Oryzias latipes: one gene and its partner. The protein of the gene in region 1 purifies or fractionates together with the protein of each later gene. This does not show direct contact. Links are inferred from orthologs where the notes say so. Each region holds a gene or a part of one and is shown in the gene's direction. Other genes may lie near its edges.

Region 1 (3,563 bases):
GGTAAAAGTTTTGCTCCTGGCTTCTTATGTTGTACTGTGGTTATAAAAGTGTTGACAAAATGTATTTTTTTTTGTGCACAGTGATGAAATACAGAAAAGGGGATGAAGACACGTTCATCGACAAGATCTCCAAGCTGAGCATGCACTCCATTATTAAGAAATCCAACCGTGTCAGCAGCCACCTCAAGCAGCTCACAGGAATGGCACCTCAGGTAGGGATTAAAAAAAAAAGGTTTTGGACTTTGTGATTTTGGTTTGTTTTGCTCTAAAAACTCCTCATCTTTTTCCCAGTTTAAGGATGAAGTGTTTGATGAGGCTGAAAAGAAGTTCAGACTGCAGGAGAGACTGATCAAGACGTTTATCAGAGACATTTCCTTATATCTGCAGCATTTAAGGGTAAAGAAACTCTTTTCTTCTACAAAAAATGTGTGAAGTACAATCACAAAAGAGGAAAGATTGATTGATTGATTGATTTTATTTATTTAAGTGTCATGCACTAATGTGCCCAGCCCACACGGGCTTATGTGACACTGAAAGACAAAATACATGATACATAAAGAAACATGCCCATCACAAAAATCCAATAACCCTTTGCCTTTGACACAAAATTTGACAAACAAAATAGGGAAGAATATGAGAGAATAATGTTGTTATATAAAGTTATAAAGTCATAAAAAATTATGAGGAAAAACTATAATATTTTTTAAATTTGAGAATTACCAGAATAAAGTTAAAATTATCAGCAAGAATTTGTAAAATTATTTATTAAAAAAATACATTTACCAGTAAAAAGTCGTAGAATTATGATAAAAACTCTAAATTTTTATAAGGGTGAAGTAGTCAATTTATGTGAAACAGTTGTACAATTATGAAAAAAATGCAACAATTTACCAGAATAAAGTTGTTAAATGTTGAGGAAAAAGTCTAAATTTTAGGAGAATTTTAGTACTTTATTCTTGTAAAATTTTGAACTTTTTCTTATAATTTCATGACTTTATTCTCGTAACATGTCGACTTTTTCCTTACAATTTAATTACTTTAGTCTCATATGTTTGTCTATTTTTCTTCTTTTATTATAGCCCTGTGTTTTAGCGAGGGATTTTTATGCGGAAACGTTTTTCTTTGCAGGAATCTGCCTCGGTCAAAGTCTTGGCAGCCATCAGTTTCTGCGACATCTACAACGAGCGCAGTTTGATGGACCCCGAATGTTTTCAGAGAGCTCACCGCTGCATCAGCGACAGAAAGTTCACCCAGTTTGTGAGTCCTCATCTTTTTGCTTTCACACGACCAGCTTAAACAACAACCTCACCTCCACCTCTGCTGTTCTTCTGAGCAGAAGGAACGCACAGAAGCTCTGGTCATCAACCCGCTGACTCAGCTGCTCGCCATGTTTGCCGGGCCTTACAAACTCATCCAGAAACGCTTCGACAAGCTGCTGGACTACGACAACTGCAAGGAGCGAGCTGAGCGCCTGAAGGACCGCCGCGTCCAGGAGGAGCTGCGGGCGGCACGCAATAACTACGAGGCTCTGAACGCTCAGCTTCTAGACGAGCTGCCGAAGTTCCTCCAGACCGCAGAGGAGATGTTCCTAGGCTGCGTTACGGCCTTCGCTCAGGCCCAGAAAGACTTCATGAGGACGACGATGGAAGAACTGAAGCCGCTCCTGCAGGTATTATTAATCCACCAGACCGAGAAAATACGGTTAATCATCAAAAAAAATGATTGAAAATGAGGCAACAAAACTATAAAATGCTTGCCTAAACAATCGTTTAAACTTAAGAGACAGAAAAGTGCTCATCAAAGTACAAAAACTAACGCAAAATCTGAAAGAAGATGGGAAAACAAAAAGTTTAAGATATTTAAAAAAAACAAAATATCTAGGAAAATATTCATTTTTGCTTGTGTTCTTTTCTTGTTTCAGCAGTTTTCAAACAAAGGGGCAACGAGTGGAAACCTAATCGCACAGTTTCAGGAGGAGTACAACTGCGTCCTCCGACTGCTCCAAAGCTTCAGCTTCTGCCCCGAAAACCTGCCTCTCACCACGTCCACAAAAAAGCCAGTGGAGAAGAAAACTCTGGACAAACAGACCTCCAAAAAGCAGCTTCAAGGACCTGTGAGTTCCCAGGATTTCTTTATATTCGAATACTTTTCAAAAGTTTCTCCTCTGAACTGTCCATCTTCTTCAGCCTAACTGCAGCCTGCAGACAGATGAGCACCGGACGGCGCTGCTCGTGCGCTACGGCCCCGAGAACCTTTTCCAGGCTGAGAGGAACTTCAACGCCGCCCAGGATCTGGATATTTCCATACAGGAGGGGGATCTTGTGGGCGTGATCAAGCAGCAGGACCCCATGGGGAGCCAAAACCGCTGGTTGATTGATAACGGAGGTAAAATATTTCTTCTGAACTTCATGGAGAAAAGGAAAATGTCCTCTGTTCGTCCCGCAGCAGTCCTGGATGGCGTGGATCAGATTGTTTTTTGCAATTTTATTTGCCCAACTGTACGTTTGAGCGAAAATTTCACCCCCGCCACATAGTCAAAGTCACAGCAGGAAGTCAACATCAAAAATACAAATGGGACCACTGACTTACAACCTCAGCTGACATTTTGTTGACCTTTAACCCCAGTAATCGGTCTCCATCTTTAGTACCTTCTACAAATTGAGACTCCTCCAAGGGATTTGAATCTATCGCCTCCTAACCTCCTTGAGCATCTCTGGGAAGCTACTTGGGTAAAAATTGTTGGTTTTAAAGTTTGTCCTTTTTGAACAGCGTTCGTTCGCATTGTGAGCTCGCAAAAGTGGCGTTCCCCTGTTGCTCGAGAATATTGCGAAAATGTAACACATGAATCGATGGCTCAAGCTGAACAAAACGACATGACATACGGCTTCAACGTATTAGGAATGTGGGCGTGGTTAACCAAAAACCTTGGTTGCCAAGGAAATTCAAACATTTATTTTAGCCGATTCTTCTAAAAATTGCATTGATCTGTTCGTCACCCCCAGGTGACCAAAAAATAAAATGGTTGCTATGGAGTTGAGGCCAACAGAAAGCCTTCAATTTGTTTTTAATGAAAAGGAATGTTCAGCACTGACCAGGGTGGCAGAGGCAGCAGGGGAGAGTGAGGGGTGTGTAGCGCTGGGTAGCCAATGAGAGTGGCGGCCTATGGCTTTAATTCATTTTCTTTTTCTGCCTTTTTCTTTCTTGCAGTTACAAAGGGGTTTGTGTACAGCTCTTTTCTCAAACCCTACAACCCGCGCAGGAGCCACTCGGACGTGTCCATTGAGAGCCAGTCCTCCAATGAGTCCGGTTATGGCGGCTCCTCCCCCGTTTTCTCCCGCCAGAACAGCAGCAGCACCCTGACCTTTAACCAGGATACGGCCACCGTCAGCTTTTCCACCACCCAGCCCCAAAGCCAGTCGTCCCCACACCCGTCTCTGGACTCCGCCTCCTCTCGCAGGAGCCAGCCCCGGGACGCGCTCGATTCCGGCAGCCAGAGCAACTCCATGAGCTCCTCGCCCCAAATTCGCTCAGACCGCAGAGACCTTTCAGAGCAGAAACGCAGA
Region 2 (4,351 bases), on another chromosome or scaffold:
AGTTTCAGCTCTAAAGTGGTTGGTTTCAAGATTTTAATATTTGTTTTAGCCCAAGCTGTTCTCACAGCAATGGGAGAAAACCAATTGTTTATCAGTAAGAATTATTTTTGATTTACAACTGGCCCTAAGTTCATATAAAAAAAAAAGAACATTGTATCACTATTTCCCCAGATAAATGTCCAAATGAAATCACGTTATTACAAGCTTACATTTCGTCATTAGCCTGACTTTTGTTGACACCATTTTTGTTGTATAATTTTTGTAAATTATGTAAATATAAAACAATCTACTATATCTTATTTCTTTTATTCAGCATTTTTCCAGCAGTGCAATATTTGACAAATACCACAGATATGCATAAATACCCATTAAACTCAATACCTCTTCGATGTAATAAAAATACATTTGACAAAACACTTTTTCTTGGTCATGATTAAGAGACTGAATGTTTGAAATTTTGAATTTGTCCCATCCTCTCACCATTGGGTCAGCAGCCACCTTTGTGCCAAACTGGGTTGCAGGGTTGGCTGATCACAGACAATACATGTAGAAAAATCTAACAGGAGCAAAAAAAAAAAAAAAAAAAAAAAGACAGAAAGAAAGAAAAAATAAATCGTAAATATTTGCTTGTTTCTAAGGGCAGCCTTTGTTTTTAACCCTTTGATTTACATAAGAGAATGAATAAATATTGACCTCCGTAAGAATGGGAAAATAGAAAACTTTTATATCAATAACGATGTAGATATTTTAAGCAAATCATGTCATCTTATGGACTACAGGGTGGCTTCAGGGATTTTGTGGTCTTCAGCCGTGACATTGGTGTTAAAATGGAGTCGGTACTCACTGTTTTTTTGTTTTTTTCTTTTCTTTTTTTTGTTATGTTGTGTTTTCTTTTACTGACAATATACCCTCATGTTTGCATGTGCACGGAAATTTCCCAAAGTGCTACCTACCCTCTGCAGGTGGTCCTTATTTCTTTATTATGCATGAAAAAAGTCACTTTGGGTCAAATAGGACAAACATAACAACAATGCAAAACAGAAAACGATGGAACATACATTGGGATAACTGTTTAGTTGGCTTTTTTTTTCTTGTTAAGAAAAACAGTGGGTTTTGTTCAAATGTTTGGGATGTCTTTAGTTTATCTCATGTTTTTATTACCTTATAATAAGGTCCTTTTGCAACAAGAAATAGTTGTACAATATCCTTGTGGTTGGGGGGATGAGGTGCTCCCCTGTTTACATGACACTTCTGTTTGTTGTAATGCAATTGTTTTGTTATTTCTATGTAAGTACTTGAATAAAAAACATCACCTGACTTCAGTTTACTAAAAAGTCCTGACAAAAACGCGCACTAAAGTTCACGCGCGCACACGTAGATATTCAGAAATAAAAAATAATAAATATATACGTTGTCTCAGATATTATATATGTACATTATTTTTTTGTCATATATGATTTTGACTCCTATATGTGAAAACCTGATGTTAAAAGAAATCTTTTATTAGAGGAAACGTGAACGTCTGCGCTTTGGTTCACTTCCTGTTTGAAGCTCGAACGTCGAGTAGTACGAAAGGTATGTTTGCTGGGAAATAAAGAATACTGCTGGGCATAGAAGAATAAAAAGAACTCCCAAGATGAGCTGGTACGTATATAGAAGAATAGCTAATGTTTTGTTATATTTTGTAATATATTGTGGGTTATAATATCTGTGTTGAAGGACTTGCTTTTTTTCGTTTGGATCCGGCTAGTTCCTGGAAGTGCTACATAAACAGTACTTCAGACATGGAGTTAGCTTTAGCTTGTTACACTTGAGCTGTCAATCCGAAACTTTTCTTTAGTAATACTTTCGTAGATATTTGACTTGTGTACTTTGTAAAGAAAAAAGAAAAAGAAGAGCAGTTCCAACAGCTACACGATTGCCTCAAAAAAAGAAAGAAAAGAAGAAAAAGTCGTGTAGCTTCTTGCTAGACTTGTCAGGTGACGTTAGTACAACCTGTCAGTCACGTCCTTCAAAAATAGCTCTTCAAAAATGTTCCAAATGTTAATTGTTTCTCTATATGTTCGTATAATAAAGACGCAACGCTGTGCTTTAAGCCAAAAACATAGATTGTTGCTAAATCACAGGCTAGTAAACCTTTAAGGATGTGGTGTCACTGTCATGGCTACCACCTGAATCTTAACCTCTTGAATTTATTTGAGACTTAAGTTCCCTTAGTTTTTAACTATGGAAACCTACATTTAGCATTTAGTTATAAAAATAAGGATGAACTAAGTTTTACTTTGGTTTCCTTCGTTTATGTTATCTAAGTGATAATACACAAAACATTGAAAAGTATTAGATTTTTGCCACATTACGGTGTCTGGAAGTAAACAAGTAGTCTTTAATTCTATATCACTTTTTACATAGTAAAATAACAATAAATGGATATGTGAAGCATAACATTGGAACATGAAACCAAATGAAAGTTTTTACAATTGTTAAAGTTAAAGATCCAGTCCAATGAAAATCGTGTTCTTGGTGTGTTTTTTTTCATGTTCTTGTGGCATTTTTCTCATGATGGAGGACATGCAGACCGTCATCCTCACATACCCTGGAAGAAATTATGGAAAATATGAATGATAGCACAAAAACCTTTTTCCACTCATAGTTGGTGGTTGGGTGAAGTCATTTATTGTAAAAAATTTAAAAAATATATGTTTACCCTTTTTAAATCATTATGACAACAGAAACTTCCCAAATATTCTGTTCAAAAGTCTACATACCCTAATGATTTTGTTCTGAAAACATGCAGACAGATTGATACAAAAGAGTTTGAATGACAGCTAAGTTTGCCTGTAATCAATGTGTGTCCACAAAAGGTCTTGGAGTTTCTGAGCTCCCAACAAACCCTTGCATCCTTCATCCAGTGCTGCACTGACATTTCTGGATCCTTAGTCATGGGGAAAGCTGCAGAATGTGGCTTAAAAAGGGTAAACAGAATTATTTTTTACAGTAAATAGCTTCAACCAAACACTTACTATGAGTGGAAAAAGGGTTTTGTGTTATCATTCATATTCTTTGAAAAATGACGAAGAAATCATAGTTTCTTCCAGTGTATGTAAATCTATGAGCACAACTTTAAAGAAAATTAGATTTAAAATTGTAATTCTGAGTATTTCTTTATTTAAATCATTGGGAATCAGAAGCAGAAGAAAAAATGTAGTTTGAAAAAGCTTGTAGCAGTGTCGTAGGATCTACAATGGCAATCCACTAGCTCCCTGCTCCTCTCTATTTTGATGCATTCACTTGTAGACGACAAGATCCACATACTACTTTGTTTTCTTGGCCGAGCTGAGATCTGACTCCAAACTGTACGGCTGGATATCGTATTTTCACAACCATAGGGCGCACTGGATCATAGGGCGCAGTTTCAGTTATGGGTGATTTTTCTGTAGGAGCACCAGGTTTTAAGGCGCGGGCACGTTAACACATATCGGTAAAACACGCATGCAAGTGTGTGTTTTTAAAAAAGGCAGCTGGAGCAAAACTGAGTTGGTTGAGATTTATTTTTTTTTTTCAGTCAGCAATAATCCAAAATCCATCAAAGTCTTCATCTTCTGTATCTTAAATGAACAGCGGGGTTAAATTTCTGTCCAACACAGCAGGTTCCCTTTCGTTATTGTCAGAGTCCGTCTCGTTGCCGTGCGGCTTTAGTCGAATGGTGACTGTAGAGACGCTTCTCCCAGTTTTTCTCTGATCGTTCATCCATCGCTCGAGTCGGTCTTCTAACTCGGGCCACCTCGCCGTGTTTCCACAGAAACTCAGCTGCGTCTTCTTGACTTGTCGGAGTTCGTTTTCTAGCTTCCTCCACTTGCGAACTATATATTCATTAATTTTGAATTCTCTCGCAACTGCTCGATTCCCATGTGCCTAAGGTTGCAGTTTATACTGTGCTTCATAAGTGTGTCTCTTTGCAGGTGGCATTTTCAGGGTTTCCAAAACGATGTTCTGCATAATGCACATACCTGCACTTTAGTACTATTTGGGGGGGGGGGTCTTCTTCTTTCATGTCCTCACTTCCCTCCTTGCCGTTGTCATGCGTCATCTCCTATGTCCTCTTCACCGAAGGCACGCAACAACACATTAGGCGCACCACACCGTAGGGCACTCCGTACATTTTGGAGAAAATGTAAAACTTTTAGGTGCGCCTTATGGTCCTGAAAATACGGTAGTTCCAAAATTGCTTTCCTTTTTTGTTGCACCTGTAATGTTAGGATGGGGGTCCAAGGAGCTGTAAGCTAGCGGGGGAGAGTGTTAAAAAAGGGGTGATGGGAAATGGGGGAAGGCTTACTCCGTGGCAGCGGTCTTG

The links.
Region 2: the proteins of dnmbp (region 1) and bin3 purify together in Homo sapiens (co-immunoprecipitation; 5 studies listed by BioGRID and IntAct, counting the BioPlex papers as one, with this or other methods). This does not show direct contact. The link is inferred for Oryzias latipes from reciprocal best matches to the Homo sapiens genes DNMBP and BIN3.

What each region holds. Positions count from the first base shown.
Region 1 is NC_019877.2:5,335,570-5,339,132, forward strand, and holds part of dnmbp (dynamin-binding protein), read left to right. Parts: coding exon 1-1; intron 2-81; coding exon 82-212; intron 213-291; coding exon 292-396; intron 397-1,128; coding exon 1,129-1,257; intron 1,258-1,336; coding exon 1,337-1,669; intron 1,670-1,921; coding exon 1,922-2,113; intron 2,114-2,186; coding exon 2,187-2,385; intron 2,386-3,207; coding exon 3,208-3,563. UniProt on the Homo sapiens protein: Plays a critical role as a guanine nucleotide exchange factor (GEF) for CDC42 in several intracellular processes associated with the actin and microtubule cytoskeleton.
Region 2 is NC_019867.2:16,934,967-16,939,317, forward strand, and holds the start of bin3 (bridging integrator 3), read left to right. Parts: upstream 1-1,521; 5' UTR 1,522-1,636; coding exon 1,637-1,644; intron 1,645-4,351. UniProt on the Homo sapiens protein: Involved in cytokinesis and septation where it has a role in the localization of F-actin.